Linked DNA regions of Drosophila melanogaster. The main gene of each other region encodes a partner of the protein of the gene in region 3 in a complex. Each region holds a gene or a part of one and is shown on either strand. Other genes may lie near its edges.

Region 1 (6,753 bases), on a different chromosome or scaffold from region 3:
GGAGGTGGAATTGATCCTGGAGCTGGAGGAGTCCGCAAGAACTGCGCTTGCGCTTGAGCCTGAGCTTGGGCAGCGTAGTAGTTGTACATCTGGTTTTGGTTAAACATGGGACTCCCGTATGGTCCCTGCAGAAAGCGCTCTTGGGCGGATGGCGTGTTTGGCATCCCGTTGTAGAAGCCAGAAGTATATGGATTTGGTACGACTGGGTGTATTGCACCTTGGTTGTGGCTCTGCTGCTGCTGATGCTGTTGCTGCTGCTGATGCTCCGCAAGTGCATCCTCAATTATGAAGAGGTCGTCCAGGCCTAAGGCAGCTGCGGGATCGACATCTCGTGTAGGCGTGTCTCGACTGCTGATCTTGATCTTCTTAAGCAGATCCTCCAGGCCAGTGAACTTCTCAGTAAGAACTTTGATATCCTGCCGCATGGCTTCCATTCCCACACTCACATCGTCCTTGAGCACACACAGTGACTTGCTGATCTGCTTGACAGCCTGCTCCATTTCCTGACTCGGTTGTGCCATAACAATGGGAGTGACTGGGGTGACTTCTAACTGACGACGTGATCGATTGGCAGAGAAGGCTGCATGGGAATAGAAATCATCTTCTGCGTCCTCGTAGGCGGATGAATTGTTATGAACATCCGGACTGCCGAAGCTATTATCGATACCCCGACTATTGCGGTCCTGTTGATGTCTATGCATGGCCGCTATGAGTGGGTGCTTATCATCATTTTTGATTAACTTTTGCGTTTTCTGCAGGCATTCACGTCTTCGCTCTGAGTAACGATCTCGGGAAGTTCGAGGCAGCTTGGAAGATTCCTCAAGATGATGACACGCCTCCGATTGCAAAAAGTAGGCCATGGGCAGATGAAGTCCCCGGACCTCGTCCAAAAACTGCTCATACTGTCCAATCCTAAACATTTTCTCGCTAAAATAGGTGACGGCTTCCTCAGCCAACGACTGAAGATCTTGCCATGCTGCCGTTGAGCCGGCGGATCCGTACTTAAAGACGCGGACATAGGATTCCATCTGCTGGTTGTGTTGGTGGCGTAAAATTGAAAATCCTTGCCTGTACAGGGTATCGATACGCGCTTCTAGAGAAGAACGATCCGATCGGGAATTTAAAATCTTTCCCAATTGAAAAATGATGATGGCATCTGCTTTTGGGCCATTAACGCCGCGCACCGCTTCCAATCCATGTTGTAGTTGAGCTCGTTGCTCGGCGCGATTGCCTTCAGTGATAAGCTGGTTCGAGTTAAGTCGCACCACCAGATCCCACCAGTTACTTTGCTCCGGTGCGCCTAGTTGACCCACTAGATTGGCAAATGGCATCATATGTGGCCGGGCGGCAGCATTGCGGTTTCCCAAATTGGAGGAGTCATACACCTCACGCTGGATTTGCAATTTACGTCTGGTCTGAATGGTTGTGGCATAAAGGTAGAGGTCCACATCTACCTGGCTGATTGAATCTTGCCCACAGTAGTTTAGATTCTGCTTAACATCCCGTTGGAAACCCTCATAAAAGACCACGCGTGGCGCATCTCCAAGTTTGTTCGGGTCGGTGCCCAGAGCCAGGTAGACATGTTGGGCTAAGGAGTGTGGCGGCAGCACCAACGCTTGCAGTTCGTAGTTCTCGATATGCGCCAGATTCGGCCACTCAAAAAGAGGCAGCTGCAGACGCAGGTTCCGCACCAGATGCGAAGACGTATCCTTTAGCTTGTGTTCGGCGTGGGTAAAGAGCTGTTGGTAAATTTGACTTCGCCAGCTCTTGTCCAAGCATTGCTGGTGAGCGCTGGCCAACAGCTCTTCGGAGTCGGCAAATAATCCCGGCATAGAATTTCCCGAATTCTTATTCTCATCAAACTCGGCATTTTCTCTATCGTTTTTAATTTCCATTTGTGACCGGTCCAAGCAGCCCAAAAGGGTTCGTCCAAGCTGGGCACATCGAAAGGCGCCCTGAGGGCGCCACATCTGTATCAACTGCTTCTGTTCCGCGTCGCAGTGTTTTATCCATTGGTTGGTACTCGAATCATCGATCGGTCGCACCTGGTAACCAAGGAGCAGAAGTGGCAAAGCGGAGCGAAGCGTGCTCATCCATTTGTTTTTGTTTGCCAGAACCTCACGTTTGAAAATCAGTGTCACCGCGTGAAGCAGAAGCTGGCCGGTAAAGTGGTCAATACAAGCCTGGTGGAGATCCCGCTGCGGAGCGTCCCCTGACCTCTCTATCGAAGTGCTAAACTTGAATAGATATTGATCAAGTCTGAACAACTGCTTGCTGCTGTCTGCCAGTCCACTGCCCTCCAGGCTTAGCTGCACGAGACGATCGAGAGTGTGCAAGGCGAAGTGCCAAAATCGCCAGTTCTTCTTTACATCCTTGGCCATTTCTATCTTGAAAAGGACCATCCAGATCTGCTCGTACCATTCGTTCGACTGGCTCGTGCAGTTTTTCGACTCCAGTTCCGTTTTTAGAGCATAGTTGAAGGCCTGGTCTATTTTCATTTTTTCAACATAGCTGCGCAGCAGTTGTATGCGTATATTAACATCCTGGGGACGCGCCTGCAGCTCCTTGTACATAAGAATCTCGAGGGTATTTTGCTCGCCGTCTCCGCCACTGGTGTCATCTCTTTCGCCGTTACTGTCCGCAAGATTTACACGCATTCGCAGGTTGAAGACTTGCTTGTTGCCGCTTAAATCAAGGCTATTAGCCTGATCCAACCAGTACCTGGCGCACTCCGTGATCGATGCGTTGTTCTCCTTCACCAGAAGTTCGCAGGCGTCAATGACAACCTCTGACTGACGCGGATCAATTTGAATAGAACGTTGGTAGTGCTGCAGGGCCTCTGTCACATCGGGCGGGTTCAGCCTACTGTAGCAAGTGGCAATCATGTTATGGCCTACAGCGTCGTCCCTCACCCGGAGATAGCCGTTCAAATACTCGATGGCTTTTGGGTATTCCTGAACTTTCATGTACAATCGAGCTACAGCCAAGCCTTTGATATCGCGCTACAATATACATTTTATTGATTAGTACGTTAGGTTCAAAAAAGTCTGTTAAATTTTTAGACAATCACTGTGAGCTGGATAAGAATAACTTTGTAAGATTTGACTTATTGTGTGCTTATTATTTAGATAGAGCTACGTTAGACCGCAAAAAATCATTCAAATCCACAATGGAAATTCGAATTATTTTTGGCGGTCTTACAAATTCAGCGCTCACTCTAGCAGATTGATATGGTACACATAACCTCAAATATCTAATTTGATTTATACAGAGAAGGCGAAAGCCATGCAGCTGCGAAAAAAGCGTTCTATTTGTCAAGTATATGAAATGCAGCCGTTGAAAGAAAAGCGCGCAATTTCTTATTCAATCTCAAAAACGACGGCCAAGTGACGCCGACTCACACACACAAACACAAGCAGACGCCGCACGCACACAACGGTGTGCTTTCAATGGCGGCGCCTGAAGATTTCGCAATGATTTTCTTTTTGGAAATTCCGATGCACACTTTGGCCGTTTATTTACCTCTCTTCCCGGCTGAAGTTTTCCCAACATTTTGTGGACGTGTGCGTCCACTTCTTTTCGCGTTGTAAACATATCTGTACTTTTTTAAACACGTCCAATTTGCAGTGGACGAGACCTTGCAAAAATGTGCTTCGCGTTAGATTCTTCTTCACTCGTCATCCGATTGAAGCAGATTCCTCGAACGGTTAATTGCCCCGGCCGGAAAATCACGTAGATTCGGATGGGCAATTCCAGTCGCAACAAACTGCACTCGTTTGCGGTGTAGATTGGAACGTAAATATCACTAAATTCCAATTAAAACTTAAGCTGAACAGCACGGAAACCAAAAAATTTGTGCAAACTTAGTGCTGGAACAAAAAACGATGACTACGCGTTTTCATCGATGGGCGCGAATATATCGCGTCACCGATGTTTTAATGACTATAGCAACTATCGATTGCTACGATTTTTTTTCGAACAAACAAATAAGTATAAGGGATTTAATAAATAAATTAAAGAAGGTTCAAGAATAATATAAAACTTATGATAGTTTAACGAAATTATGAAATATAAATATAGAAATAGAGTGTAGATCATTGATATTCTTCTGATAAATCTTTTTTATATCATATTTTTTATATTCTTTTATTTATTATTCATACAATTTTATATAAATTACTTCATTTGCACTTTCCAGAAGAGCAGTTTCCTATCGGAAACCGCACTAATGTACGGCAATCGCTGGTGCCAGGCCATTCCCCCATAGGATTTCAGGGAGGCCTCCAGCAGAGGAACGGTCGACTTGGCCGCGAACACTTTGAGAGTCAGCCCGATGACCATGGCGATAACCATCTCGGAGCTGCCTGGCGCGAAGCGCACCACCCGGCCGCAATCCTCGTGGACCTGCTTGACATCCGCGGGCACATAGGGTCGGTTCAGGTCCCAGGTAACCACATCTCCGCCGGCCAGCGAGGTGATGAAGAGCCGGTTGCTGTGGGCCCAGTCCGCCGACATCAGGGGGAATTTGGGCGACTCCACGGAGATGACTGTCTGCTTGAGCGTCACATTGTATAGATGAATGATGCCTGCAAGGAGTTTCCTTAGTTACACCGCGGGCTAAACACTGGTAATAGCAAGCACACCCTTCTTTTCCGCCACAAGAACCTTGTTGGGATCCTCGGGGTGACTCTTGACGGACATTCCAGCGGAGGACAGGCCAAAGGTTATGACATTCTCCCCGCCGCCTGTCGTCGTCCAGAATCTGCAGGTGAAGTCATCGCTAACGGAGGCCAGCAGTTCGCCGTCGCAAACCCAGGATACATCGTTGACGTAGTCCCCATGCCCACGGAGCACCTGGAGCGAGGTGAACTGGCCCAGATCGGTGCGGTATAGTTTAAGCTGGCTGCCGTTGGCCGCGCACAAAGTCACATTGTTGGGCGTGCAGTTGAGCGAGGTGTCCGGCGAGAAGGCCAGTGCGCTCACGCTCCGCTGCTCCTTTTCGCCCAGGTCCATGTCCTGCAGGCGTGTGTACCCGAACTCGCCGCTCTCCTCCTGCGGATTAAGGGTTAACCATTCAAAATCATTCAACCTTCACTGGTCTTATGCATGGAAACCCACCGGCAGTCCAACGAGCAGCAGACTCAAGTGTTTCCTGAAGGCCACTGCGATTAGGTTGTAGGCAAAGTCATTGGTGCATATATCGTAGCAGTAGATGGCTTCATTAAGCTGGATGCTGTGGTCGGGCTCGATGACAGATCGCATCTTTCTATAAATATTGTTTGTTATTCGCGGGATATATGCAACAATTAGCCGGCGCCAAAAAAATGTTTATTTTAGTATGACCAAAAATCAGTGGAAGAATTTTCCAAGATTTTACACTTTTAAAAAACAGAATACGCAAAGAAATGTTATTCGAAAATATATTCGTTATTATGTTTAATGCTTACATTATTGTGCCTCAAGTTTTAATAAAAATGGCTAGTCTTAAAAAGAAACATAACAATATTTAAGTAGTCATACGTCGGCGAACTTTTTAATGATAGTAATAGTAGTAATGCCTAATATCGACTGTGTAGCGTTTGCTTTTTATAAAATTTATTGCTAATACACGAATAAAGTCAGAATAAATTTTGAACTCAAGCAACACACACTCCAGTATTGGAAAGCGTGAGCAGCAGAGTTGCCATCGCCCAGCTGTTCAGCATTATTTAGTGCATTCTCGGGCAAGTTAAGTTGGCTGCGATTTACCCCACTTCCTTTTCCGTGTTAGCTGTGAAAGAAAAAACATGCCGGTGGGTTCCGAATTGCGTTAAAATTGAATTTAAACACAGAAAACTCAACCGAATGATAACCAAAAACGGCCGCTTATTACCGCCAAAGTGTCCAGTGTAAACGGAGCAAGTGTCGGCCGATAATAACGGCCCTGAAAGACTGTAAAACAAATGTCTGGCCCGCTTCCATTGAATGTGTGCGATACAAGCCACGCATGGCGTGCGCCAGTGAAATTGCAAACAGTTGTGAAATGGCCAAATGAGATTTAAATGGAATCTTGGGACTTACAGGAGGAATTGATTGCACTGTCATGTGAAATCGACGGATATCCTTGCACATAACCTAGAACACGCATTTGCGAATTTATGTTGTTGTTGCCTGGAGTCTGCTCTGCATTTGTTGATACACCGAGAGAAAATGTGCCAATTGTCTGGCTTAGAATCGTCAAGTGGCCTGATAACATTGTATTCAATTCTATTGTTATCTATTTCCCAAATGAATTGTTAATTGAGAACTTAAAGATCAAAGTAGTTATACTTTAAAATATATTTTCAAGTATTTAAATTGGTAGAAAGTTACTTCTTCGTTAATTAATAAAGAATTGGTTTTCCTATTGGATCAAAGTTGGACCAACACGTTTGGCGCCAAAGAAATTTCGACTTATAACTAAGATTTAGAGGATTATCTAGGCTTGAAGTAATCCAACACATTTGGCCGTAATCATATAGTATAATATATACATTAAATGAATTTATACTAATTTTGAAACTATTTTCACCTTGCAGCTAGCAAAAGATCTTCTGCACCCTCTGCCCGCCGAGGAGAAGCGCAAGCACAAGCTGAAGCGCCTGGTCCAGCACCCCAACTCGTACTTCATGGACGTGAAGTGCCCCGGCTGCTACAGGATCACCACCGTCTTCAGCCACGCCCAAGGCGTCGTGGTCTGCGCTGGATGCGCTACCATTTTGTGCCAGCCGACTG
Region 2 (9,793 bases), 250 kb from region 3:
CACATGGAAAATCAATAGTCGAGCGAAATTTAGGACCAAAAAAACCTACATAGTCAGCTGTTTTTCGGCCAACCTCCCCGCGTTTGAAATGCTCCGCAGAAACTTACCTCATTGATTATTTTCTGCTGCAGCTGTTTGCCCGTGTGTCCGAACTTGGCGCGCTTCAAAAGATCCGTCTCCTGGTCAAAGTCCTCGACGGGCTCGGCGGCGGACGCTTTGGCGCGTTGATGGACCAGCACCTGTGCCTGGGTCGTCAGGAGACGAAGGTTTCGACCGGCTAGCGTGGGAACACCTTTAAGCATTATCACAATCACTGACTTGGCTAATTGGTTGCCCTAATGACGACGATGGTCTCTCTGATTCACGGATTATCGGATGCCTAACAGGGGTAAACCTTAATGCTCGTACTTGATGTCTTCGTTCACGTTCACGCTGCGTATCCGCTCCGTTGTCTGCACATGCGTCCTCTTTTACCAATCGCTGGGTACTAAAATGCCAAAAGCAGAAAGCTCATAATCAGCTCAACGCTGCCGCAAAAAACGTTGGCGGCGGCAAAAGCAGCGGTGATTACTTCTTTGGTTGTGAGTAAGCATAAATAGCCGCTCTCTCTCTCTCCCTGTTTCTGTGGGACTGAGTTTCATGGCGGGGGAGACACTACCACTTCCAATGGTGGTAGTTCTCTCAGAAAAGAGACGGTGATGACGTTGCTGGGGGCTCGTCTAACCCAGTGACGTCATTAGCACAACTGTGCAAATTATTTTTCTACACTGGGAATCATGGAATTGACTTTATTACATGAAAAGATATTTGTTCAATTAGCTTTTTTTTTTTTATTAAAAATGGATCTATATGTGTTAACAAAAAATAGTCGCACTGTTTTATTTAATGTCTACATACTTTATTTAGAAATCCATGAATTACTTTACAACCGAAGGGCTAGCAGCTCAGTCGCAATGGGGCATTACATTAAAGAGGGCCGACATCAACTGAAGGTAGTCCTCCTCCACCACTTGAACCTGCGACAATTCACAATACCCAGGCTCAGTGGGCGGGGGAAAGTATTGCAGTTCGATGGCGGCCAGTTCGTCCTCCAAGAACGCGTCGCCCGCCTGTTGAGCGGGATACAAACGCTTTCGGCCATCCAAGCTCGTCGTCATGGCTGCACCTTGAGCTGCCGCAATGGGACTCAGATCGCTGCTCATGTCAAAGTTTTGCGGTGGAGGAGTTCGCTGCTGTTGCTGCAGATGCAGTCTGCGTACGACATTAACTCGCAGTTCGTTATTTGTGTTGCTGCGGCGCACAATTTCTGAGCTGCGGGAAGAACTGCTTGAACTCCTCACTGGGTCCACGCACTTCAGCTTACAGAGCCCGTGTTTTCGTCGTAGCCAGGGACTACGGTTCTCTTTGTAGTCTAATATCACCTTGCGGCGCACGAACTCGTTGAAGATTAACAACTCGTTGCTGATGTCCCGACGCACGATTTGCTTCCAGAGCGTTTCGAGGTTCGGTGAGCGAATTATACAGATGGCTTGCGAAGCGACCAGCATGAGCAGATGCTCCAATGCAAGCAAACAAAGCTGGCCGTCCATGTTGGAGAGCAGCTCACTGGCTGGACAGGTTCCGGTTGAAATCGAGACATTGGACAGAGGCTTGGAGAAGGTGCGGTTGGTTTGGTTGCCTACACAAACTTCTGGATCATCGTTGTCCCCGGAATGCTCAACGTTGGGCAGTGAGTTTAATGGCACCTCACTGAAGCCATGATTTTGCTGATGTTTTGAAAATAATTAGAACAGAATGGACACACTTATAATGCCACATATACATACCATATTCAAGGCCTTTACGTATATGTTTACCAAGTTGAGGACGATTCCAAATGTGAGCGTTAAGTTCTCTTCGTTCAACTTAGGTGCACCAAACTTAACGTCTAGTAAGATTGAGTGTTTGGAGGGCTCATATGCACTGCAGCACAGTAGTTCCATTAAATCCGGACTAAATCTAAGCAAGGCTTTAACGCAAGAAATTATTATATCCGTGAGGCTGTTATAAAATGGAAATATTTAGTCTAGTATAACAACATTATTCAAGTTAACTTACTCATTGCAGGCGGAGATAAGTTCATCGTCAACGATTAGAGCCTCTGTGCTGCGCAGAATTTCTAGCTGGGAGCGTCGACCAGCCAGAAGACACTTTAAGTTTTTTTGCTGGTGAAACAAAGATGAGGTGTGGCACAGCAAACTCTGAACTGCACGCTGTGGATTTCAGTTAAGCGATTAAAATATTATTTAGTTGAACAACTAAAACAGAACCCACCATTAGGTTAGCAAGCGACAGATCGCTGTCTTGCTTCCACTCTTTGTGGTGCTCCGTCAAACTGGCGACTAAGTTAACAGCAGCCTTGATTAAGTACATGGCTGACGGTTCCAAGGATTGTTTGCTCAATAACAATGCATCCTCCAGGAAAACAGCATGAATGCCCACAAATTGAAAAGCATCTTCAAGAAAGCACTTCTTGTGCTTCTCGTAAATGATGGTAACAAGCTCAATACCTCTGGCGTATACAGGCCACCACTGCTCTACGGTCCAACCTTCTGCATCCGCAGCCGTCGTCTTAGTAAACTCGTGTTTTGACTGCAAAAGTTCTCTGGGAGGCAACAGTTTCAGCCACAAGTATTCTCCCACATCGCAATGCAGAAACTCAACTGAACAGTGGCCCTTGGCAAATACAATGAGCACATCCAGCAGCTGCACACTTAGAACTTGTTTGCTAAACAATGGAAGGGTTCTAGACACACAGCGCACGAGCCGTTGAAACAAACGCACCGACACAAATGGCAGATCCCAGTTTCCGGGACCGTCGTTGTGGAATATGGTAGCGACAGCCTTTAGCAAATTCAGGCAGAGAATAAGTGAGTTGGTGGATGTCTTGCTGTCTGAACTGTCCGAATTATTGAGGCCCTGCGATTTCTCCAGGCTCACCGAGTTCTCCATGTGCTGCAGTTCGCTGCAAATGATGCCTACGACTGAGTTGAGAAAACGCAAGGCTATGGACGAGTCCCTGATTAGCAGGTCTGTGTATAGATGTGTGCACTTGGTCACAATGGCCAGGCATGCCTCTTTGGCCCTTACGTGCTGATCCTCATAGCACGCACAGATGCGGTTCATCAGTTGCAACAGTAGGTCCATTAGTGTCTGTTCCTCCTCTAAACTGTCTGTGTACGCGTGCTTAAATTCCAGTAAGATGAATACATACAGTTCAGCCAGTATGATGAACGGCCGCATGTCCTCCAAATAATTTGAGCGATCAACCAGGACAACCAGACACTTCTGCGCCATTAGCTTAAACTGCGACTCGGGTATGGTCACGAACTTTGGCTGTTTCTTTAGCAAAATTACAATAAGATCCTTAAAAGCCTGCAGGCAACAGATCCAGTCGGGCAAATGGTCGGAAGAACTCAAATTTTTTACAGCCGGAACCTTGGGCATGTTAAAGACGTAATTAAGCCAAGGTCCAAAGTTCTTCTGTTCAAAGAACTTATTCATGACGTCAAGCAAAGCGGCATTGTTTCCATTTCCCGTATAGACTTCAATGGATATAATATTTAGAAGCTGAGTGTAGATTCGTAAATTTGGCTGTAGCTCGGAAAAGAGCGGCGAACAGAGTTTTTTCCAAAACTGTTTATCCTTCACTAGATCATCCACTAGCATTTGCAGATTATGTTTCCACATTGAGTGGAAGATGGTCATGATCTTAGCGGGCAAGGCCTGTTGAATGGTTAATGGATCCACTTGAAGGGCGTCCAGAAAGTCTCTCATATAAGTGACAATACTCTCGCCAATATTGGGAACACAATCCTTACTGAAAAATGACCGGGAACGTTTATCAAGGGCATAGTTAACCTTGAAAAATGCCTCGGTAACACCCGGTTGCTTGGCAATGCATGCGTCCACCAGCTCAAGGATGGCTATCTTTATGGAATCACTTTCTAGCTCATCAGGCAACTTCTGCATAAACGTCAATCGGATTTGATCAGCCTCCATGTCCAGACAGGCCAAGAGAGACATATTGAACTGGAGAGCGATTCTTTTCAGCAGGCGGCAAGACAGAATCGGTAGCCATCTATCAAATATGTTGCTCATGTAACTGCATACTGTAGGTATGATCCGCAGAGTATCACGCTGTTTGGGTTGTGTGTATATCAACGCCTCCAGCGGGGAAAGGGTCTCACTGTTTCCATATACCTCTTCTTTAAGGCGCAGTAACTGCATCAGGATACGCATGGATAGACGGACTAACATCATTAAGCCGTGAGGTTGCTGCTGCATCCAATTTGTCTCTAGCTCCATGGTGTACTGGACATAAGCATTGCCCACACCAACAAATCTAAAATATACATTTTATTTAAATTTATTCTTGGTTGGAGTTACGGTAGCTCTTACCTCAAAAGAATCAGACCATTTTCCAAATTTAGAAGGGAATAGACGCACACCTTTACCAAAAGTTCGCGTTGCTTGCAATTAGATTCTTTAGCAGTGTTAAACAAGTCCAGGATGTCGCATATAAAGCTAAGAATCTCGAAGTAGATCTTGTTTCTCTCCACTTGAGAGCTAAAGTGCCAGGTGTGCAAGTGCGGGAAAACATCCTTTAACAGGAATATAAGGCCGGGAATCTCCATCTGGATTTGGCGATTCCGTTTCAGGTTGGAGTACGCTCGCAGGAACCCAATGTATGAAAGCAAGAATTCGTAGCGCTCCCTTTTCTTCTCCACATTATCAATGACGGAGCCTAAAAAGCGCGACTCAAAGCCCACTCCATTGGCATTGGCATACATCTTGAAGTCGTAGTGAGATCCCGGGCTTACTGTTGGCAAGATGTGTAGGTTGCTTATCCGCGAAAAGATTTCCTCGTCTACCAACGGCAGCAGCGCAGTGCAAACATTGAGACAGCTAGACAAAAGTCCAACCGGTGGGTATTGAACGCTTTTGAACGTGTGCAGCAGATCAACGCACATCTCGGTAGGATGCACCATTTCGGCGCTGATGCCGGATATCGATTGACTGAGCTTAACGGCACTTTCCAAAAATCTTAAACCAGCTTCTACATTGCGTATGCGTTCGCTCGATTCAAAGTCACCATGCAGGTGACCCGTCTCGCGTAGCAGGCAGTTAATTTCGTGGTGCAGCGCGTCAAAGTAGTTTACCGGGAAACGAAAGTGCATAAAGCAGCCGGACGGATGTTGGATGGCTGTGCAACTAGTTCCTGCGGGTATGGTAAAATCAATTTGCTGAAATGGTTGCACGCTGGCCAGGAGCTCGAATTCATTTGTGTCCACTTCTCTGAGTTTGTGCTGACTTTCGTCGTAACGAAGAGCCAATATGGGCAAAGCCTCTAGTTGGCTCTTGACCTGCAAGATTGTTAAAATAATTTTAACTGATGCCTTTGAGTGTACAAGTATTGGCTTACATAGTTGCCTTGTCCCGCTTTTGTCAGTGACAGTGCCAGTTTGGACAGATGTGTTAATTCTAGAGGGAAGTTCTCTAAAAGAGTTTTGTACAGCGAACACGGACCATCATCTAGATAAATGTAAAGTTGTTCGTTCTAAACTAATTTTTTCGGTTAAGCTCTTTTGATTATATGATACTGACCTTCCCGACTGCAAAAGTCTTTAGCTAAGTGTGGCCATGAGACAAGTTCGCAGAGCAATTCGTAAATGCCCTCATACCGAGCGCAGCTGCCATCGCCGTCGAAGAGGTCGCACAGATATCCAACCTGGTTGTATATGGTTCTTCGCACAATCCGTGACAGCATAGAGTCATCGGCGTACATAGAATGTCTGGCAATTAGGTGCAGTTGGACAAAACACTTAAGATCCACGGCTCGCTTGCCCAGCTGCCGACAGCGGAGCAAGCTGGAGGCATCGTCGGCATCGTTGGTGCCTCGCAAGCGAAGCAGCATCCACGCTAGGAGCAAAGGGCCATGCTCTGGTCTGTGGTACATGCTGGCAATATCAACCTGCAGATCCTCTATAAGCTTTTCAATTAGATCGGAATGCTTCTCGGGCTTCTCAAAGTCGAGGCACTTTAAAACTAACATTAGCTCTGAGTAAGAAAGGCTTCGAATAATCTCCTGATGGTAAGGTTGGCTGTCATCCAGATAACTTTGCATCTTTCCAAAGGAGTGTTGCTTGCAGGCGGCAAATATTCTCTTTATCTGCTCCAACCCCATGGGCAGGTGTTCCGCTAGCACCAGAAGGATGTGCAGCACCTCGTTGATCTCACGAGCATTTCGCTCCGACCAGGCAACTAAGCGTTCCGCAGAGTGGAAGCATTCTCCCGCCATTAGCTTTCTGGGTGGGACTTCGCAAATAAGGCTCTCCAGTTGGTCTAGGTATGAATCTCTAAGGCGGGGGATGGTTATCTTTTCGACCACGGCGCGATACTCCCGGTGATAGGGATGATTCGGTACCTGGTGAAAGACGATAAGATTCTTAACAATCTTGAGGACAACCATGCGTTCCAGGGAGTAGTAATGCCGTATGTCTTCGTGCAGTTTGGCCATATTCGTTTCGGTAGAGATTAGTTGGGTAAGGAGACTCGCCGATCCACGGTACTCCTGCGTAAGGTAGTAGCAAAGGATTTCCCAGCACTGGGCGGATTCTAGATCCAACAGATCCTGCAGTCGTTCGGTGAAGGGCAGCAGCTTTTCCTGCTTTTTCTCTTTGAGCAACGTGCCCAGCTCGAGGCTGGAGGCATTCTTGGGCTTAAATTGGAGCACTCCAGCCTGCAATTCAGAAGCCACGTTCATCAGCTCCTCACGTACAGTATCCTGCGGCGTCTCATAGTGGATTCCTGAGACCATCGGCCACAGGCGCTTCCAATCGGTGCTACATGGCAAATCGAAGGATTTTATTTAGTCATTCAATATTGTCGCACTGCCGATACTCACATCACGCTCTTTTCCACCGCAGGCATTGTCTAGGCTCTGTCTCTTAACAACTACAATAAAAAATTATTTAATAACAAATGTATTCTGTTCCACGCGCAAATTCGCGGCGTTGGAGTTGCCACCTAGCACAATAAAATGCCGGGACAATCAGCTGGTAACACCGAAGGTGTATCGATAAAACGATAGTTCTTGTTTTAAAAAGCCAGTTAGAAAATTGTGATACAGTACTTTATACATTTTCTTTAGCTTACTAAATCTTACTTAAATCAAGGTATGACATCTTAGATCTGATGATCGCTTATAGATTTATACAAATAAAATATACATGGAAAGCACGTGTGCGCCCCATTATTTATCTATTATTGTAGCATTACAGTTAAATTGGTATATATTTCACGCGAATAGGTTTAGAAACCTATTTTATAGGTTTCAAATATAGACGTTCGCATGTGGCCCTTCAATCATAACTTGACACATGCATTTAGCATTCAGATCTTGATATTTCCCAAATATTTCATAAATAGCCTTCCAATCCAGCCGGACTAGAACTATTTAGGTTAGACTTTCCAATCACATAAAGCCATTCCAGTGAGGCTGTGGCTGCGGCTAACAGACCTGCGAAGTCAGAGTGCAAAGTGCGCAGATGCTGCACTCCGGCGCCCACTGCACCGCCCAGCCACCCAACCACGCCATTCTAGAGGCCCATTTCTTGGAAACTAATACCACTACTCCTCGGCTAGCCGCAGCCTCCCATCTTTTCCAGATCTAAGAGCGAGCGAGAGAGGAGCGGAGAAGGCGCGAGAGAGTAGGCGCACTCGAAGTTCACGTTCACGGCGCCTGGAAGCTGCAGCCCGAAAATTGTCCTGTTAGTACGAGAAAACTATTGACAGGCGAAAGGTCTAAAATTGCTCATATTCTGGCAGAAAAGGCAGATTGGACTTCAAAAGTCTGATAGCCGCAATGGCTCAAGTTCAGCTCAACGCAGGAAATGGGCAAGCCCCTAGCAACGGAAATAATGTCGAGGATAATGAACGTAAGTCTGCCGATTGGCAATTGTGAAATCATAATAGAAAATTGAGTGATTGCCCGGAAAGTGCACAAGTGTTGGTCTGCACAGTCCTAGTGGAAGGACATATGTGCATACCTACGCACATAGTGTGTGTCATGTATCAGGATATATGTAGGTATATATGTATGTATCATAAAGGTGTATGTCAGCAGCAGCTAGCATCTTTGACATAGCTAGGATGCTTTTTGGCCTGGCGTTGGGTGATAACTTAAACGGGAGAGCGAGCATGAGAGCAGGATAACAAAGAGAGAGAAATGTCTGAAAGGATGCTGCGAGAGCGCCAGAGATGCCACTGCTGCCCAAAAGCAACAAGTTTTTGAACTTAAGCTAAATCAGATAAGGCTAGAACTACCTCGATTTCGTTAGTTAATTTCGTAGTGTATAAAGGGGTATCAAATATAATTATTATAATCTGTAAGCTTTTATATTATTCAAAACAAGGACAATAATTAAAGGTAACTTATTTCTTTTATTTCCATAGCCTATCAAATAAGTGACGATGATTTGGATGACCTGGATGATGATTGCTTGCTCGAGGAGGCAGATACCTCAGGGGCAGGCAATAATGTGGGACGTGGTCCTTACGAGCGTGCTTGGACCACAGAGGCCACCAGGGCATTGATTCACATACGCGGTCCCATGGAGGGTAGCTTTACAGAGGGCAGGTGAGCAAGGTTTTTATTCCACCGTAAAGACATCTTTGTAAAAGTAACTCCCTTACAGACAAAAACGGACTGCTCTTTGGCTGCACTGCACCCGGCAACTACAGCGACTGGGATTTCGCTACTCCGCCGCAAAGGTGCAGAAGAAGTGGCATAACATCCTCATCACCTACAACAAGAATCTGAACAAAAAATACGTATCCGGCTATGTGCACTGGGAGTTCTTCGAGGAGATGTTCAAGTATCTGCAGGGCAAGAAGGCTGACTTTGATATGCAGTTGCCACAACAGACTTCAAATGCGCCACAAGCTCCACATTCGGCTAATGGGCAAAACCCGAATCCGGGTATTCCCCAGCAACCTTTACAGCTTCAACCTACTCCGGTGAGCCTAAAGCCGGGAACACCCCAAATGCAGGTGCAACTTCCACCCCAGACTGCGGCCAAGGACAGCCAGCCGTATATTACACCTGTGGATCAGGTCCTGCTGCAGGCCCAGATGAATCTGGACAGCAAGTCCAACGATGAGTTCGATGAGGATAGCAACAGCATGTCGGAGGTAGTCCGTCAACCCAAGATGGAGTACGATGGCGATCAAGTTGCGGAGGCTGAACGTACAAACGATAGCAGCCAACATCTGGAAGTTAATGGCAAGCTCTACGATCTGGCACGACCCATGGGCTCGCACCAAGCTTCTGGCATCCCCGATGACATCTGGTGGAAGGACTACTTTGAAAGAAAACTGGAAGTGGAGCGGGAGAAGATAGAGCTACAACGGAGTTTGCAGCGCGAACAGGTGCAGATCCAAAAAATGTCACTGGTGCAGCAGGAGCGGATTGAGCGCATGAAGATCGATGCCATCAACAGCCTGACGGGCACGCTGCAAAAGTTGGTGGAGGCCAAGTGCCGCCGGGCCTAAGATGAATCTGTTCCCTCCCAGTAAATTTCGATAACTTTAGGCTTCGATTCGTCTGTATCTAGTTGGGTGTGTAAATACAATTTCGGCTAACTAAAACACTCTACGGCTGCCAGTCTATCTCGAAAATGCTAGCCAGGGAGGTCAGCTTTCCGTGGGGTTTCTCCAGACCATAACTTAGGCTCCAGATATCCGTGGTAAA
Region 3 (6,999 bases):
CCACCATGGACGAGATTGGCCTGGAAACCAAGAAATGTCTGCAGCAACTGGTCGACCTAACCAGCGCCCTAATGCTACGTTTCTATGATCAGGATGAGCTCTATGTCGCAACCAAGAAAGCCCTGCAGACCTATGAGCCCTCTCCGAATTGCGTGGCTCTGGCAAAGGCAATGCATGAGAATGCCCAGCCGTGGGGTCGGCGGAATGCGAGGGTTGGACTCGTTAACCTGGGGAATACCTGCTACATGAATAGCGTACTTCAGGCGCTAGCCATGACCAGCGAGTAAGTAAAGATCAAATGAAGAAACCCCACTTCTAATTTCCCCAAAGTAGAAGCGCAAAATAATATCTTTGCCTCATATTTATGATTAAAACTCGGTTCTATATTTGCATTGCCTTGCCAGCACCTTTTGTTTAAGAGCTCACTGTTTATAAATCTGTTTTAGGTGTCAATTTCCGATTACGAAAATAATTACGATTACGAAGCTTATTGGCTTTATTTATCTTCTTACAACTACATATACTCATTTTCCATTTGCAGTTTTAGCAGGCAAATCCTGCTTATCGAGTGCAATTCAGTGCTGCTCATGAAAGTGCAGCAGCAGATTGCCCTGATGCATCACTCGCTGCGCTACGAACTAACGCCTTCGCGAGTGCTGAACGCCACCCGGCCGCCTAGCTTCACGCCCGGCCTACAACAGGACAGCTCCGAGTTCCTAGGATATCTGCTCGACCTGCTGCACGAGCACGAGATCAACAGCTCCTCAGTCACTGGTCACAGTGTTGGTCCTCCGAAGACCGGCAGGGAAGTGGACGACGTGCCCGCACTGCTGAGCGAGGATATATTGTCGAGCGGCGTTATTCCGTACAACAGCAAGGATCACGAGCTCAGCAGTGGAAGCAACAGTGACAATTGTAATCACAAGCCCACACCGACACCACCCGCGACTCCCACCAAAGCCACCAACGGCTTAAAGCAGCAGGGCCAGCAGGTTGATCAGGCGAAGCCACCATCTACCATTGACAAGACGTTCGCTGGCAAGCTTTCCACCACCTATCGATGTTTAAACTGCGGCTGGGAGAGCCGGAACGAGGACAGCTTTCGCGAGCTGCAGCTGTCTTTTCCCGATGATAAGGAAGACTGTGGAGCCACCAACTACTCGGTGCAGGATCTGATCGAGTACTACTGCTCGCCCGAGAAGCTGGACGGTGACAATCAATATTTCTGTCCACAATGCAAGAAGCTTTGCGATGCGGAGCGCCACATCGGGGTCACCCAGGCACCGAAGAACCTTATTCTCACGCTCAAGCAGTTCAAGTACGATCAGAAGTACCACTTCCGCACCAAGCTCATGCATAAGGTGTTCCACGATGAGAGCGTAAGTATCGCAGCGAATTTCTCCGCTACAAGTTTAGCTAACCATTTCGCACGCTAGGTCACAGTAAAAATGTCGGCAAAGGACTCGCTGCAGGAGATGTCCACTGTGCACTATGATCTGTATGCGGGTGTTGTTCACGCCGGGTACAGCATGGATTCCGGTCACTACTTTACGTTCGCGGCGGATCAAGCCAAGAATTGGTACAAGTTCAACGATAACGTGGTTACCCACTCCAAGCCGGAGGAGATGCACAATCTCACTTCGCCCAACACGCCCTACATCCTGTTCTACAAGATGTGCGGCCACTCCAATGAGTCTAATTCGGTTACGGCCAGCTGCAGTTCGAGTATGGTATCGGGCTCAAATGACCAGGTGGTCTCGGTGCCACTGTCGCCGCCTCTGAAGCTGGAGGAGTTGCCACGCCGACTTCGCGACTACGTAAGAAAGGACAACCATGTTTACAACGAAGAGTTGAAGATGCAACGCTTTAAGCGTGGCAACAGCGGTCACGGCAATGCGTTTGTCAGCCGGCACAACTTTGATGGCGATGGTGACGAGGACGACAAGGCGCCGCCGCCGCCCGGAGGATGTGGAGGCAATGGACTGGGCATGAACATCAACCGCTTCGTCTTCTGAGAAAGCGACAGCCAGGATAGCGAGCACACCGGAGGCCACTAGAACATATACTTGTCTACTTTATGAAACACGCGCATACTAATCGAAATGTTACATACATATATATATAGCACGTTCACAACCAATCGAGATATATGCGCCTACGTATATCGAAGTGTATGAGAAACGCGCTTACCGATCGCTTGTTCGCTACCTCCTTGAGTTGTTGTCGATGTTTTCTAAATTGTTTCTTCCTTTTCTCCTTGATCCTTCGGCCCGTTGCCCCAAAAATCATTATACTCATCCACTCATACGAACGCAAACTATTATTGTATTTCCATTTACAAAATTGTTATAATTTTTTTGTTTTTGTTAACACAAACCTAGTTGTAGAACGTGCATATATGCGAACACAAACATATTTAATTATAAAAATTAAAAAAAAAAAAAAACAATAGAATTAGCCAGAAATAGGAGCGATATACTTGAATCCGAAGACCACTAACTTCCAAAACACTAAACCAGAAATAATGTCTGCACCCTAGTTTTTAACGCACAGCTCGAAATTAAATCATATCTCGAGTTGCAATCGAACTAGCAAGAAGCTACAAAACAAGATAATCGCGGCATTGACTTGTATAGATCGAGATCGTTTATAGATCGGGCTATAACCCTCGGATCGTATTATTAGTTTCACTGTTAATTTTAGCAAATTTCAAAAAATTTGCGCATGTGCGACACGAATTTGTAATTGATATATATAAATGTATCTCTTTGGATCTGGTGAGCAGAGGTTGCGATGAATTTTGAACGTTATTGCAATTAAATTGGAATAATTTCAAGGAAATTTGTATATGGTGTATGTCTATTGATAACCAAAATCTATACTATGCTATGCTATAAGTGTATCAATAAAGAAAAGAACAAGCCCAAAGAGTGTTTAATTATTAGAGTCACGAAAGAGTTTAATGTGAAAACAACAAAAATAGTATCCATTCATGGAAGTTACTATATCAAAAAGAAAAGCAATGATCAGAAAGGAGGATATTATATTCAGTTCAAACATTAGAGAGGAGGCGTAAACTAGAATTAAAAACTTGACAGGATTATTGAAGTGGCGAATTGATTTTCTTGCCGCCAAATTTCAAATTATAGCGTACTAATAATCAAAAGTCGGGCCTAAGACTATCGATAATTTAGACCGCGCGGCAGTGTTACCAAATTAATAAGGGAAATTCAAGTGTTGTTGTCAGCAAGGGTGAGAGCCCATTTACAATCTGGTAACACTGCTAGAAAGCGCCAAAATTTTACGTTTATTAGGATTAAGACTAATTTTATTACAATAAAATAGAATTGTACAAATTCCGGCCCCTAGGAAAGGCAACCCAAACTGTGCGGCAAAGTAACGTCCTTGAGAATACCGCATCATGTCGTTCTTCGGATCCAACACGTCGCTGGGAGCAACAAGCACGCCGGCCAAAAGTGAGTTTCCGTAAACAAGACCTCATGCCCTTTTCTCCAAATATTTGTGGGGTCCATTTCCACTTGGTGGAGGCTTCAGCAGCTTCTTGGCGTCCTGCAGGCTGTGGATGCGGATGTCTTTGGGATCTATGCTGGATGTGGGACGGGCTACATGGTGTCAGTGTTCTTATGTGGCCAGACAAAGATGCTCACCCCTTCTTGTGGACCACATAGGCGACGTATCCCACAAAACCTAGCAGGAGGATCAGCAATATAAAAACCAGAGCCATTTTCCACGACCAGCAGGCGACCAGAGCTTGAAGCAAACTAAGGGCAGCTTCTGTAGTATTTTGGAACCCGAAATCTCAGATAAGAATCCAAGGCAGAAGCATAGTTTTCAAAACACTGACCCATTTCTGGTCTTCTTATCTCTTTTGTTCAGCAACCGGTGGCCTCTTCGGATCGCCGTTTGGAGGCACAGCTGCAACCAGCCAGCCAGCACCCGCTTTCGGAGCACAGGCCACATCGACTCCGGCTTTTGGCGCCCAACCGGCGACTTCTGCCTTCGGAGCAGGTTCCGCCTTTGGAGCAACCGCTGCAGCCCCGGCTTTTGGAGCCGCCACAGGAACTTCTGCCTTTGGCGGCTCCGCCTTTGGCAGTACTCCGGCATTTGGTGCGGCGACAACCACAACTGCGGGCACGGGTTTGGGAGGAGGCGGTTTCGGCGGATTTGGAGCAGCTCCGGCAACAAGTCAGGCCGGTCTGTTCGGCGCTCCAGCGACTAGTGCAGCACCACCAGCTTTTAGCGGATTCGGCCAACAGGCAGCTGCGAGTACAGCGCCAGCAAGTGGATTTTCAGGCTTTGGCACAACCACAACGTCGGCACCTGCTTTTGGTGGCTTTGGCACCAGCCAGTCCACTGGCTTTGGGGGCGGAGCCTTCGGATCCAGTAAGTTAAATAAGCCCATTTGTCTTTCTGTGGTATTCCTAACCTGGTTTATGTTTCAGCGTTCGGAAAACCAGCGAATACAACAGTTACGCCGGGATTTGGTGGATTCGGAGGCACCAGTTTTATGCTTGGACAGCCGCAACAGCAGCCAGCGCCCATATCGGCTGACGAGGCGTTTGCCCAATCCATTCTGAATGTATCCATTTTCGGGGATGAACGGGACAAAATAGTGGCCAAATGGAACTACTTGCAGGCTACGTGGGGCACTGGGAAAATGTTTTACTCCCAGAGTGCGGCACCGGTAGACATTACGCCGGAGAACGTGATGTGCCGGTTCAAGGCCATAGGCTACAGTCGTATGCCGGGCAAGGATAACAAGTTGGGACTGGTGGCTCTTAACTTCTGCAGAGAACTCTCAGCTGTCAAGTAAGTCTTAGTGCTTGTCTACATCATGGCATAGGTATTAATTCATTTTATTTTAGGCCACACCAGCAACAAGTGATTCAAACGCTTCACAGTTTATTCGGCAGCAAGCCCAACATGCTTGTTCACATAGATTCCATCAAGGAGTTGGAGAACAAAAAGTGCCAAATTGTTATTTATGTCGAGGAGAAACTTCAACATGCTCCCAACGAAAGCAAGCGTATACTTGCCACCGAACTCTCAAACTACCTTAATCAGGCGACGCTGAAACCACAGCTCAATAATCTAGGTGTTGTGGAGGCTTTGGCTCTGGTATTACCCGACGAAGATCAATTGAGGGAGTACCTTGAAAATCCACCCCGCGGCGTGGATCCGCGCATGTGGCGTCAGGCCAATTCCGACAATCCAGATCCAACTTTATATATACCAGTGCCCATGGTGGGCTTTAACGACTTAAAGTGGCGCGTTAAGTGTCAGGAACAAGAAACGGACACGCATGCATTGTACATAAAGAAGGTGGAGAGTGAGCTGACAGAACTCAAGAAGCGCCATGCCACTGCCACAGCGAAGATACTTGAACATAAACGGAAACTGGCCGAGCTCAGTCATCGCATACTAAGGGTAGGGACACCTAGTTAAATACCCAACTTTATTTTTACATTCAGAAATCCGCATTTTTCAACCACAGATAATAGTGAAACAAGAGTGCACCCGCAAGGTGGGCACTTCCCTGACGCCCGAGGAGGAGGCCTTGCGCACCAAGCTACAGAACATGCTGGCTGTCGTCTCCGCACCCACCCAATTCAAGGGCCGACTCAGCGAGCTCCTCTCCCAGATGCGCATGCAGCGCAATCAATTCGCAGCCAACGGTGGTGCCGAGTATGCCCTCGACAAGGAAGCGGAGGACGAGATGAAGACCTTTCTGACGATGCAGCAGCGCGCCATGGAGGTGCTGAGCGATACCGTCAACAAGGACCTGAGGGCGCTGGATGTTATAATTAAAGGACTGCCCGAGCTGCGACAATCGTGATAGGAATGGAAATGAGCTGATACGTTGAATAAAACCCACATATGTGTAACACAACCCGGTGATTTTCGATGATCGAGACAACGAACAAGTTGTGGCCGTTACACTTTTGCCATTATGTCGTCGTTTAGCATTTCCTGTAGCTTTGAACTTGCACTTTTACGGGCAATGGAGTCGAAACAATCGAAACGAGTTCACACATTCGTCGCCAATGCTGCGGAAATAATTGTGTGGGTCAATGCACTTGCACCGCACAGCTCTTGGACCGCCCGACTTTTCCTCGGCCACTGTCTGAAATTGTCCAATTTCGACGGCTAGGCAGAAGGCAATCGCTCGGACTCATTATGAGTGGCAAACGGTTCGTCTCTGGCAGTTCCAGTTTGTTCAACTCCCAGCATCGGTATCACCATCGTTGTTACATTAACATTATTATGTGCTCTGGCGTGTGCATACATGTGCAGTCTAGTTAGTTGGCTCGTTACATATTTATTTCTTGTGTGGGAAACTAGTTTTCTCCCAGTCAACCAGCCAGCCAGGGTCCGTGCAGGTTTTTTGTTGGCCATTGATGGCGGAGACTTCCGAGCTTCCGTTTGGAGCATGTAGCGCCAGTATAAATGAATTGGCCAGCTCCAAGGAGGCCTCACATCGTTTCAGATCTAAGAAAGTGAAGGTGGTTCAATTGGAGCACTGCATATGAGGAGCTGAAAGTGAAACGTTCAGAGCTATGGGAATTAAATTGGACATGAATGGTTTATTGGTTGTGAGTTGTTTGGCTTGACCGCTCAATGCGAAAATCGGACTAAGTTTTCACATCCTTGCAGTTGTTTTTGTGCGCCTTTTGCTGCAGCGTGGTGGCCAAACCACCGACAGCTCGGCGGGCACAGCTGCACGACGATGTCCAGCTTATCCATCCCCACATCATCACCATAGAGCGTTTAGAGAATTTGCTGCGGCGTGCTGGGGAAATCTTTGGTCCGGCTCTAGAGGAAGATGCCATGGCGGAGGCCAGTAGTCAGGTGCAGGAGCAAGTGCAGCCGCAGCAGCGAATGCTGCCGCCAACGGAGCAGCCGTATAACTTCTATTTACCTCTATACGACTTCGTGGAGCCCAAGCTGGATGCCAAGAGCCGAATGCTGGAGAAGATT
Region 4 (7,470 bases), on a different chromosome or scaffold from region 3:
ATTTATTGTTAGCACTTAACCATAATATCTCTGACTCACAATAATATCGGTTACAATCACTAGGCATTTGTCACACATGCGGCGAGAAGGTGAAGGGTGCCGGGCAGGCTTGCCAGGCGATGGGCAATCTGTATCACACCAACTGCTTCATCTGCTGCTCCTGCGGACGGGCGCTGCGAGGCAAGGCGTTCTACAATGTGCATGGTCGGGTCTATTGCGAGGAGGATTACATGGTGAGAAGATAGTTGTAGTTGTAGTTTAGTCAGGACTGAAAAATATTGATATTCCCCGTAAAAACTCCTTTTCATTTTGAGAAAACACTTTCCCAACTGTATTGTGTTGTTTGAATTTTATTATATTTATGATTATAAATCGTTATTTTTGGTTACTGACGCAATTACCTTTTCATTTGCTTTGTTATGATTTCAACGCCATTAATTAATAATAATAAGAATTCACTCTTGCAGTACTCGGGCTTCCAGCAGACGGCGGAAAAGTGCGCCATCTGTGGCCATCTGATCATGGAAATGGTTCGTACTGCACCCCATTCGTTTCTATCCCACTCTAATTGGGCAACTTGTACTCACATTGACGTCGCTCTCGCTCTTTCCCTCTTGCAGATCTTGCAGGCCATGGGCAAGTCGTATCATCCGGGCTGCTTCCGGTGCTGTGTGTGCAATGAGTGCTTAGACGGGGTGCCCTTCACCGTGGACGTGGACCACAAGATCTACTGCGTCAACGACTACCATCGAATGTTTGCGCCCAAGTGCGCTAGCTGCGGCAAAGGTGGGTTCACAACTTCATTCCGAATAATACGTCAATGCTAATCTCGCAATCGTCGGCAATTCTCGGCAGGCATCACACCCGTCGAGGGCACCGACGAAACTGTGCGCGTCGTCTCGATGGACAAGGACTTCCACGTGGACTGCTACATCTGCGAGGAGTGCGGCATGCAGCTGACCGATGAGCCGGACAAACGCTGTTACCCGCTGGACGGGCGCCTGCTCTGCCGCGGTTGCCACCTGCAACGTCTGGCGCTGCAATCCTCGCCACACGCTCGTCATCAGGAGCCCGTCTGCGCTTCGTACCAGTATATGGGATAAGCGGAACGGAGTGTGGCTGGGAGAGGCGGCGCGGCGCAGACCGACCTTCCGACCTTCGACTGAGTGGCGCACAAAACCAGAACAAACTATCGCAATCAACTTATTCCAATTAACAATATTATCTTAAATAGACAGAAGTGAAAACAAATGCATTTATACGAAACGAGGGCCAAGCTAATGGCTTTTTTTTTTCTTCATTTTTATGGCAGTGTACTAGGATCTCGAAACGGATCTGTTAGAAACTATGTAATGGATTCCTAAAATCTCCGACAGTTGGCAGCCATTGTTGGCAATACTATTTTGATACAAGTATATTGATGTGTTCTTCATATGTATGTCCTGGGGTGTTCCTGAGACCTCTTGAGGTTTCAATGCAATAGCAAACGGTGTCTCAAATTATGCAATAAAATACTTAATACTTCTTATCTGAAAGTCTTTTGTGGATATTCCAGTGGGTTAGTGGCTTGTTGTGATACATACCATACATTCGGTTATTAAGTAGCGAAAATGCAAAATTTTAATTGTTTGCCTAAACCGTGAGTAATTAACATATACGTGTGACATTTTGAATTTTGTTTAGTTTTCTTATAACACATACATACAAAATATTTTCTTTTAAATTTTTCGAATGCTTAATGCTTTAAATGCGTTGCGCTTAACAGAAAAATTCCAATAAAATTATTGGAAAGAAAAAAATATAATCATCAATAAAATTTTAAACGAACTGAATGAAATGCATATAAACGATAACTAGGTATTAATCTGGCTAATGTTAGTGCATAAGGATCTCCAGCTGGACGAGCCGCTGGTTGGTGGTCGATGGCATTCGGTATGGAACGCTGGCAGCCATGTTGGTGAATGCCTTGGCCCTGTCTCGCAAATGTTTCACGGCGGGCTCCTTATTGACGCACTTGCTTTCATCAAAGAAACCGGAAGCTGTTTCATTCGAGTCCATTAGCTTCACATACTCCTGGTATACAATGTCCATGGACGCCAGCAGGATATCGGGCAGCACTTTAATGACCTCGGGACCCATCCGCTTTATGTTCGTCACACACTCGTCCACTTCCAATGAGCTGGCGGGTATCAGATGATTGTTGGTCAGGATTTCTAATGCCGAACGCAATGCGCCTTCGTGATAGTGGTCAAAGAACTTCATGACCTTTGTCAGCACCGTATATGTGACAACAACTTGAACCTCTACGTCCGATTTACGCACGACCAGCGCCGCATCTAGTCGATTGATAATATCGCCCAGCCGGTTACGCACGCTTCCATTCTGCGTTGGTTGGTGGACCACCTGTGCCAGTAGCGAGTTCACCAAACGCAGTGCCTTGTCCAGCTGGCCACCAATAAAGTAGAGCTCGATGGCCAATTCGTAGTCGCCGCGTTTCGACAACTCATCGCCCACCATTTCGGCCAGAGAGTACTTATCGCATTCATGAATTTGAAATTCCGCATATATGCCGCTAAATAAAGGGGAATGAATAAACCATTAGCTATTTGCCAAAAGGATTTTGAAATCTTTTAAGAGTACCAAAAACGTAACATACCCATAGCGCAAGCCGTTTTTCTTATCCTCCGTCCCGAAAATCAGCTCTAGCATTTCGTCGTCGCATTTCTCAACTAGCAGATCGCAGACGCAGGTGAGCATCACGTTGCCGCGTCCGTTCTCGGATTTAAAGTTGCGCAACAGGTAATAGTAATGCAGCGCCTGCGTGGTGTCCGTTCTCTCAAAGCACTTGGTGTACATGACGATCAGACGCACAAGATTGAGTCGTTTCATTGGTTTTGGGTCGTCAGGGTCGGAGCTCAGAAGGGATTGTTCCACGGAACGTGGTGTTCCCAGCATGGATATCTCGTTTAGGGCAATGGCCATGTGGATAGCGTGCGTTCGATTTTTCTCGGTGCGGGCGAGGAATTCAATGGCGGCCTCAAATTGGCCGGTAAGCGTCAGCACCTGGAAGTATAGCGCCGCCTTCTCGCGCGCATTGAAGTAGTTCTCGCCGTACTTTTCTAAAATGAGCGATTGCAGGCCGCTGAACGTTAGCTGCTCCGTGTTGCTGTCGCTTTGGTCCGACCTGCGCAGAATGGACAGTTGCATCCACAGGAAGTCGTCGATGCTGCGCATTAGTTCTACGTGAGTGAAGTGCGGATCACACGCCAACAATACGACGTATACCTAATGGAAAAGAGAAAAACATATGATTAGCACGAATATACGCAACAAGTTGTAGCAAAAGATGAGCACTCACCGCCTTTTTGTAGGGATCCGTACAGGCGCGCAGTCTACTGTTGTACTCCAACTTTAGCTGACCCTCAAGCTTTACCATCAAGTTGTCCCTATCGCCGTTCTTTCGCAACGTCAATAGCGTAAGCAGGTCGGGGCAGGTTCCCGATTCCTTGAGATACAACGCAGCCGCGTCCATATCGCCACTCCGCAAGCTATAGTAAACATGTGGCCACAATGGCTGGCCATTGTTCACGTCATGCAGCCCGTAGAGGGCTCGCTGCCCCTGGAGAGTAACGCCCACATAGGAGCGGACCATATGGTACACGCTGGGGATTCCTCCCCGCCGCGCTTTGGCCAAATTCGCGACGATAAACTTTCTCATATACGTCCTATATCTGCGCTCCAAGTACGTGCGGGCCTGCTCAACGAATTGCGGTGATGTCTGACGATTCTTGATTGGATCGATGGTGCTCGAGACTGGCGGCAACGCGGTCATAAACTGCAATACATTCCACATCTCGGCTACGGACTCATCGTTGAAGGAGTCTTGGACCACGTGGGCAAGGGTCGACAGCAAGTTAGGGCGTCTGCCCAGGATGATCGACTGGTTGTGGATGGCGATCTGTTCAGCGTACATCTGCTCATGGCCATTCAGTTGGGAGTACGGAGTGGGCTCATCAGCCATGGCCGTGGGCACTATCTGAAACTGGACGTCGGGGAAGTCCTGTTGGTTTGGTCCGACCAGAGCGTTTAGCAGCGCTTCCTTCTCCTCGCCCCACTCCGAGTAGATGCAACGCCACTTCTGTCGCTCCACAGATTTAAATATCTGCAATGGATTGGTTAATGGAGATAGAAAGTTCAGAATTTTGGGTGTCTGCCTGAAGCATGTCATTTGGCGCACTCACACTGCGATTCGTCTCATCGATAACTGAGAGTATGGCGTTCTCCCGCTCGTTCTTCAGATAGGCCTGCACATTGGTCTCCGTCACCGGATCAATCGGCTCGAAGGTTTGGCGGGCGCTGAGCGACTCCAGCTTCTGTGTAAGCTTGGGCAGGTCCACGCCCTTAGAGCCGAGCAGTATGTGGCTGCATTTGAATGACCGGTTAATATGACAATTTTTGGCGCCTGGCCTATAGCGAACTACTCACGCCTGCAGATCATTGGTGCCCATTTGGGTGACACGCGAGTGAAACTCCTTGGTTGCCTGCAGAACCTGGGACATGGTCCGTTCCACGCCCGGCACCTCCGTGTCCGTATTGGTCTCGTTCGTCAGGCGCTGGGCCTGCTTCAGCAGTTCCATCAGATCCATGTCGTGATATTGGGATGGAAAAGCCGGTGCCAATAAAATGATATTTCCAACGAAGCGCACACCAAGCTGCTAGTGCTGCCACCTGGTCGCAGTCCGGATTATTTCGGCGCCATAAAATGTTTGCAATCGGTGGTATTCTTTTTGGTATATTTAATAGTACAACTGTTATATGTTAGAATAACTATAATAATGTCTACAGATGGTATATAATTTAAAAGGAATATTTGATAATTAAAATCATTAAATTGAAAAATTTATATAGATAGCAGACTAAGAAATTATTTCTCAATACCTAAAAGTTGTTATAAAAACAAAGAAAATAGTCGATTTCCCCGAACGCGAAATTTCAAAATTTTTATGGAATATCGATATATTGGGGAATAAATTGAGAACAAATGGGAGTTTTGTAGGTATAAGGTATTTTTGGTATTACGCAATCTGTTATTGAAATGTCCCAATAACAACTGTTATTGAGAGGGAGTTGTAAGTACAACTTTAAAAACATTTGGTATTAGCTTGGTATTTATAGGCCGGCCGAAAGGCAGGACCGTCTGGTAACACTGAACAGCAGGCGTTAGTGTATTTCGCGCAGTGCAGATTGGTTTATTCAGCGGCTAACCAATTCAATCGTGAATAGACTTTAGCAGCGCGCAAATCGTAGAACAGAACGGCATATTTTTTTTAAACACTGCGAGGCGAGCTTCTTCTTCCCTCCGTCTCTCTGTGTGTGTGTGAGTGTGCTGCCTGTGTGTGTTACAGCTTGTGTACGTGAGTGTGTGTATTGGCAAAGGAAATTAGCACAACAAAAGCGAAAAGGAAACGAACACGCACGCACCTCGTCACGCGGATAAAGAAAAAAACTCTTCGATCTGATCAGAGATATCGAGAATAAACGATAAAAATAATAACAATATCGCAATGTCGGAAGTTGAATCGCAGCAGAGCCAGGAGACGAACGGCAGCAGTAAATTCGATGTGCCCGAGATAGAATTGATCATAAAGGTGAGCGAACAGCGACATTTGCATACCCCTGCAGTTTTCCATTTCGCTCTGCGCAAATTTCCGTGCAGAGTGAAAATGCAGCCGGGGCAAAAGCAGAAGCAAATGCAAACAAAGGCAAAAACAAGAAGCGACTGGGAAAACGCGAACTGCCGTTTGTTTCTCCTCCTCCTCCCTCTTTTCGGCTTCTTACCCCTGTTCGTTCTTCGTTGTCTTCTTCTTCTTCTTCTCACTGTGGCACTTTGCAGTGTGTCACATTTGGTTAAAACGAACAGAATACGTTTAGCACACACCGCCCCCTCCCCTCTCGCCGACGTTCCCCTTTCGCCTTGCGGTTCCTAAGCATCGCCAAAACCGGTTTTCTCCTTTTCTCCCTATCGCACATTCACACACACATACACACACACATACACACACACGCACGCACACTATCGCATACACATGCATTCGGGCACATCTGCACAGAACGAAATTGTTGATTGAGTTATGATTTTCAGAACTCCATGATTACCATTATAAAGCATCCAAATTAAATATTACAGCATACCTTTTTGGTGCAATACTCTAAAGCCGCCCTTTTTCCAAATTATCCGAGCATACCAAGCTGTTCATATGAAATATCTTTTTAATATTTTATAATTAACAATTAATCATGATATTGCTGTGTGCGCACAGTCTGAAATTTGTGGAACGTAACATATTACTTCGGTTCTTATCTGCTAAAAAATTTAATCACATTTCATTGCGCCAATTGCTCAACAAATGCTCCTTCATCATAGTTCTCCTAAGCCCCCCGCATCGCCCCCCTTCGCAACCATCAGCATGTTTCTCTCTGTGTGTGTGTGTGTGAATTAGAGGTTCTTTTTTATCTTTTAGTGATTTCTAAATTTCTTGACACATACGTCATGCTCCTCCAAAGAATCGAAGAAAACAAAAAGCTAGCACTCCGCACATTTGCGGTCAAGATAATAGCATTGAGAAGCCAAGATTCCTAAAGTGTGATTAATTAAATGAATTTAAATCATAGAACTTAACTTTAGATTGCTCAATATGTAGTGTTTTATTTCTTTATGTATTACAAATAATCGATAATAAAAACTTGTTCGATTTTTTCTCCTCGAATACAACGCTTTTCTTATCAGTTCTGTTCTTCGATAGTGGAAAAAAAAACATGTGATAAAACAATTGTTCATTGGCATCTTTCTTAAAGGTGATATTATTGCAAAATGAGTCAAAGAAAGATTACGAACCCTTTGGTTTTTTTTTTTGTATTATAGTAGAGGCCGCAATCTATTTCTTTCCCCGGAATTGTAAGTCGAGCATGAGTCCACTTAATTTTGTTTCTTTTGTTGGTTCCCACTGTTTGCCGAAGTAATTGTAATTGTTTTCGGAACACTTTGGAGCCCTGCTGTTGTTGATTCTATTGGCAAACTCGACTCGACTCAACTTGGCCACTCATCCAGCCCACGCAAATGGAGACCGCACCTCGAGTCGTCTGCCCATGAGTAATTTCCCTCACCTTTGCATTGCCTAAACCCAAACAGTACAATATACCATGTGTTATACCATTCGATTCCCGAAAGAAAAAGAAAAAAAAAACCCCACTCGACGCTAAACAACTGACATGAGCAATCGTGTACTTCGAATAGGGTTTCGTAACCAGTTTTGTTTCCAAATTAAACAGCAATACGATATGTAATGGCTGAAATTAGTAGCTATATTCTATTCATATCGTATGATCGTAAGTTTTTGGTCCTAACACTTTCGAAACCCATCCCCCATTTCCCCCTTAAACCCAATGATCCATGGCCCGCTCCCTTTTCCT

Evidence for each region.
Region 1: Nup54 (region 3) and Nup358 share a complex: the UniProt entries of both Drosophila melanogaster proteins name them as parts of the nuclear pore complex.
Region 2: Nup54 (region 3) and Nup188 share a complex: the UniProt entries of both Drosophila melanogaster proteins name them as parts of the nuclear pore complex.
Region 4: Nup54 (region 3) and Nup93-1 share a complex: the UniProt entries of both Drosophila melanogaster proteins name them as parts of the nuclear pore complex.

What each region holds. Positions count from the first base shown.
Region 1 is NT_033777.3:25,246,472-25,253,224, reverse strand, and holds the start of Nup358 (nucleoporin 358kD), read right to left. Parts: upstream 3,878-6,753; 5' UTR 3,595-3,877; coding exon 3,523-3,594; intron 3,003-3,522; coding exon 1-3,002. Other genes in the region: Nup37 (nucleoporin 37kD), read right to left, coding at 4,177-4,586, 4,644-5,052, 5,119-5,262; RpS27 (ribosomal protein S27), read left to right, coding at 5,787-5,792, 6,558-6,753. UniProt on the Drosophila melanogaster protein: E3 SUMO-protein ligase. Component of the nuclear pore complex (NPC), a complex required for trafficking across the nuclear envelope.
Region 2 is NT_033778.4:12,679,101-12,688,893, forward strand, and holds Nup188 (nucleoporin 188kDa), read right to left. Parts: upstream 7,080-9,793; 5' UTR 6,973-7,079; coding exon 6,947-6,972; intron 6,885-6,946; coding exon 5,647-6,884; intron 5,575-5,646; coding exon 5,465-5,574; intron 5,406-5,464; coding exon 4,441-5,405; intron 4,385-4,440; coding exon 2,314-4,384; intron 2,253-2,313; coding exon 2,098-2,252; intron 2,041-2,097; coding exon 1,827-2,040; intron 1,767-1,826; coding exon 945-1,766; 3' UTR 867-944; downstream 1-866. Other genes in the region: GLS (glutaminase), read right to left, coding at 108-302; CG13148 (uncharacterized protein), read left to right, coding at 7,907-7,979, 8,497-8,680, 8,739-9,594; CG30053 (uncharacterized protein), read right to left, coding at 9,695-9,793. UniProt on the Drosophila melanogaster protein: Component of the nuclear pore complex (NPC), a complex required for the trafficking across the nuclear envelope. Required for proper protein transport into the nucleus.
Region 3 is NT_033778.4:12,427,359-12,434,357, reverse strand, and holds Nup54 (nucleoporin 54kD), read left to right. Parts: upstream 1-3,258; 5' UTR 3,259-3,421; coding exon 3,422-3,476; exon of another isoform or gene 3,477-3,498; coding exon of another isoform or gene 3,499-3,607; intron 3,608-3,668; coding exon of another isoform or gene 3,669-3,745; exon of another isoform or gene 3,746-3,763; intron 3,764-3,897; coding exon 3,898-4,404; intron 4,405-4,463; coding exon 4,464-4,830; intron 4,831-4,886; coding exon 4,887-5,448; intron 5,449-5,515; coding exon 5,516-5,857; 3' UTR 5,858-5,909; downstream 5,910-6,999. Other genes in the region: DUBAI (deubiquitinating apoptotic inhibitor), read left to right, coding at 1-283, 542-1,379, 1,437-2,015; CG43204 (uncharacterized protein), read right to left, coding at 3,499-3,607, 3,669-3,745; CG13154 (uncharacterized protein), read left to right, coding at 6,579-6,614, 6,676-6,999. UniProt on the Drosophila melanogaster protein: Component of the nuclear pore complex (NPC), a complex required for the trafficking across the nuclear envelope. Essential for the nuclear import of nuclear localization signal (NLS)-containing proteins in an importin alpha/importin beta-dependent manner.
Region 4 is NC_004354.4:13,820,103-13,827,572, reverse strand, and holds Nup93-1 (nucleoporin 93kD-1), read right to left. Parts: upstream 4,748-7,470; 5' UTR 4,647-4,747; coding exon 4,486-4,646; intron 4,423-4,485; coding exon 4,242-4,422; intron 4,163-4,241; coding exon 3,359-4,162; intron 3,286-3,358; coding exon 2,657-3,285; intron 2,573-2,656; coding exon 1,876-2,572; 3' UTR 1,663-1,875; downstream 1-1,662. Other genes in the region: jub (ajuba LIM protein), read left to right, coding at 64-233, 468-530, 621-786, 856-1,103; Clic (chloride intracellular channel), read left to right, coding at 5,565-5,648. UniProt on the Drosophila melanogaster protein: Required for nuclear pore complex assembly, maintenance and function. Required for nuclear import of phosphorylated Mad via importin msk. Has no role in classical nuclear localization signal (cNLS)-dependent nuclear import via importin-beta.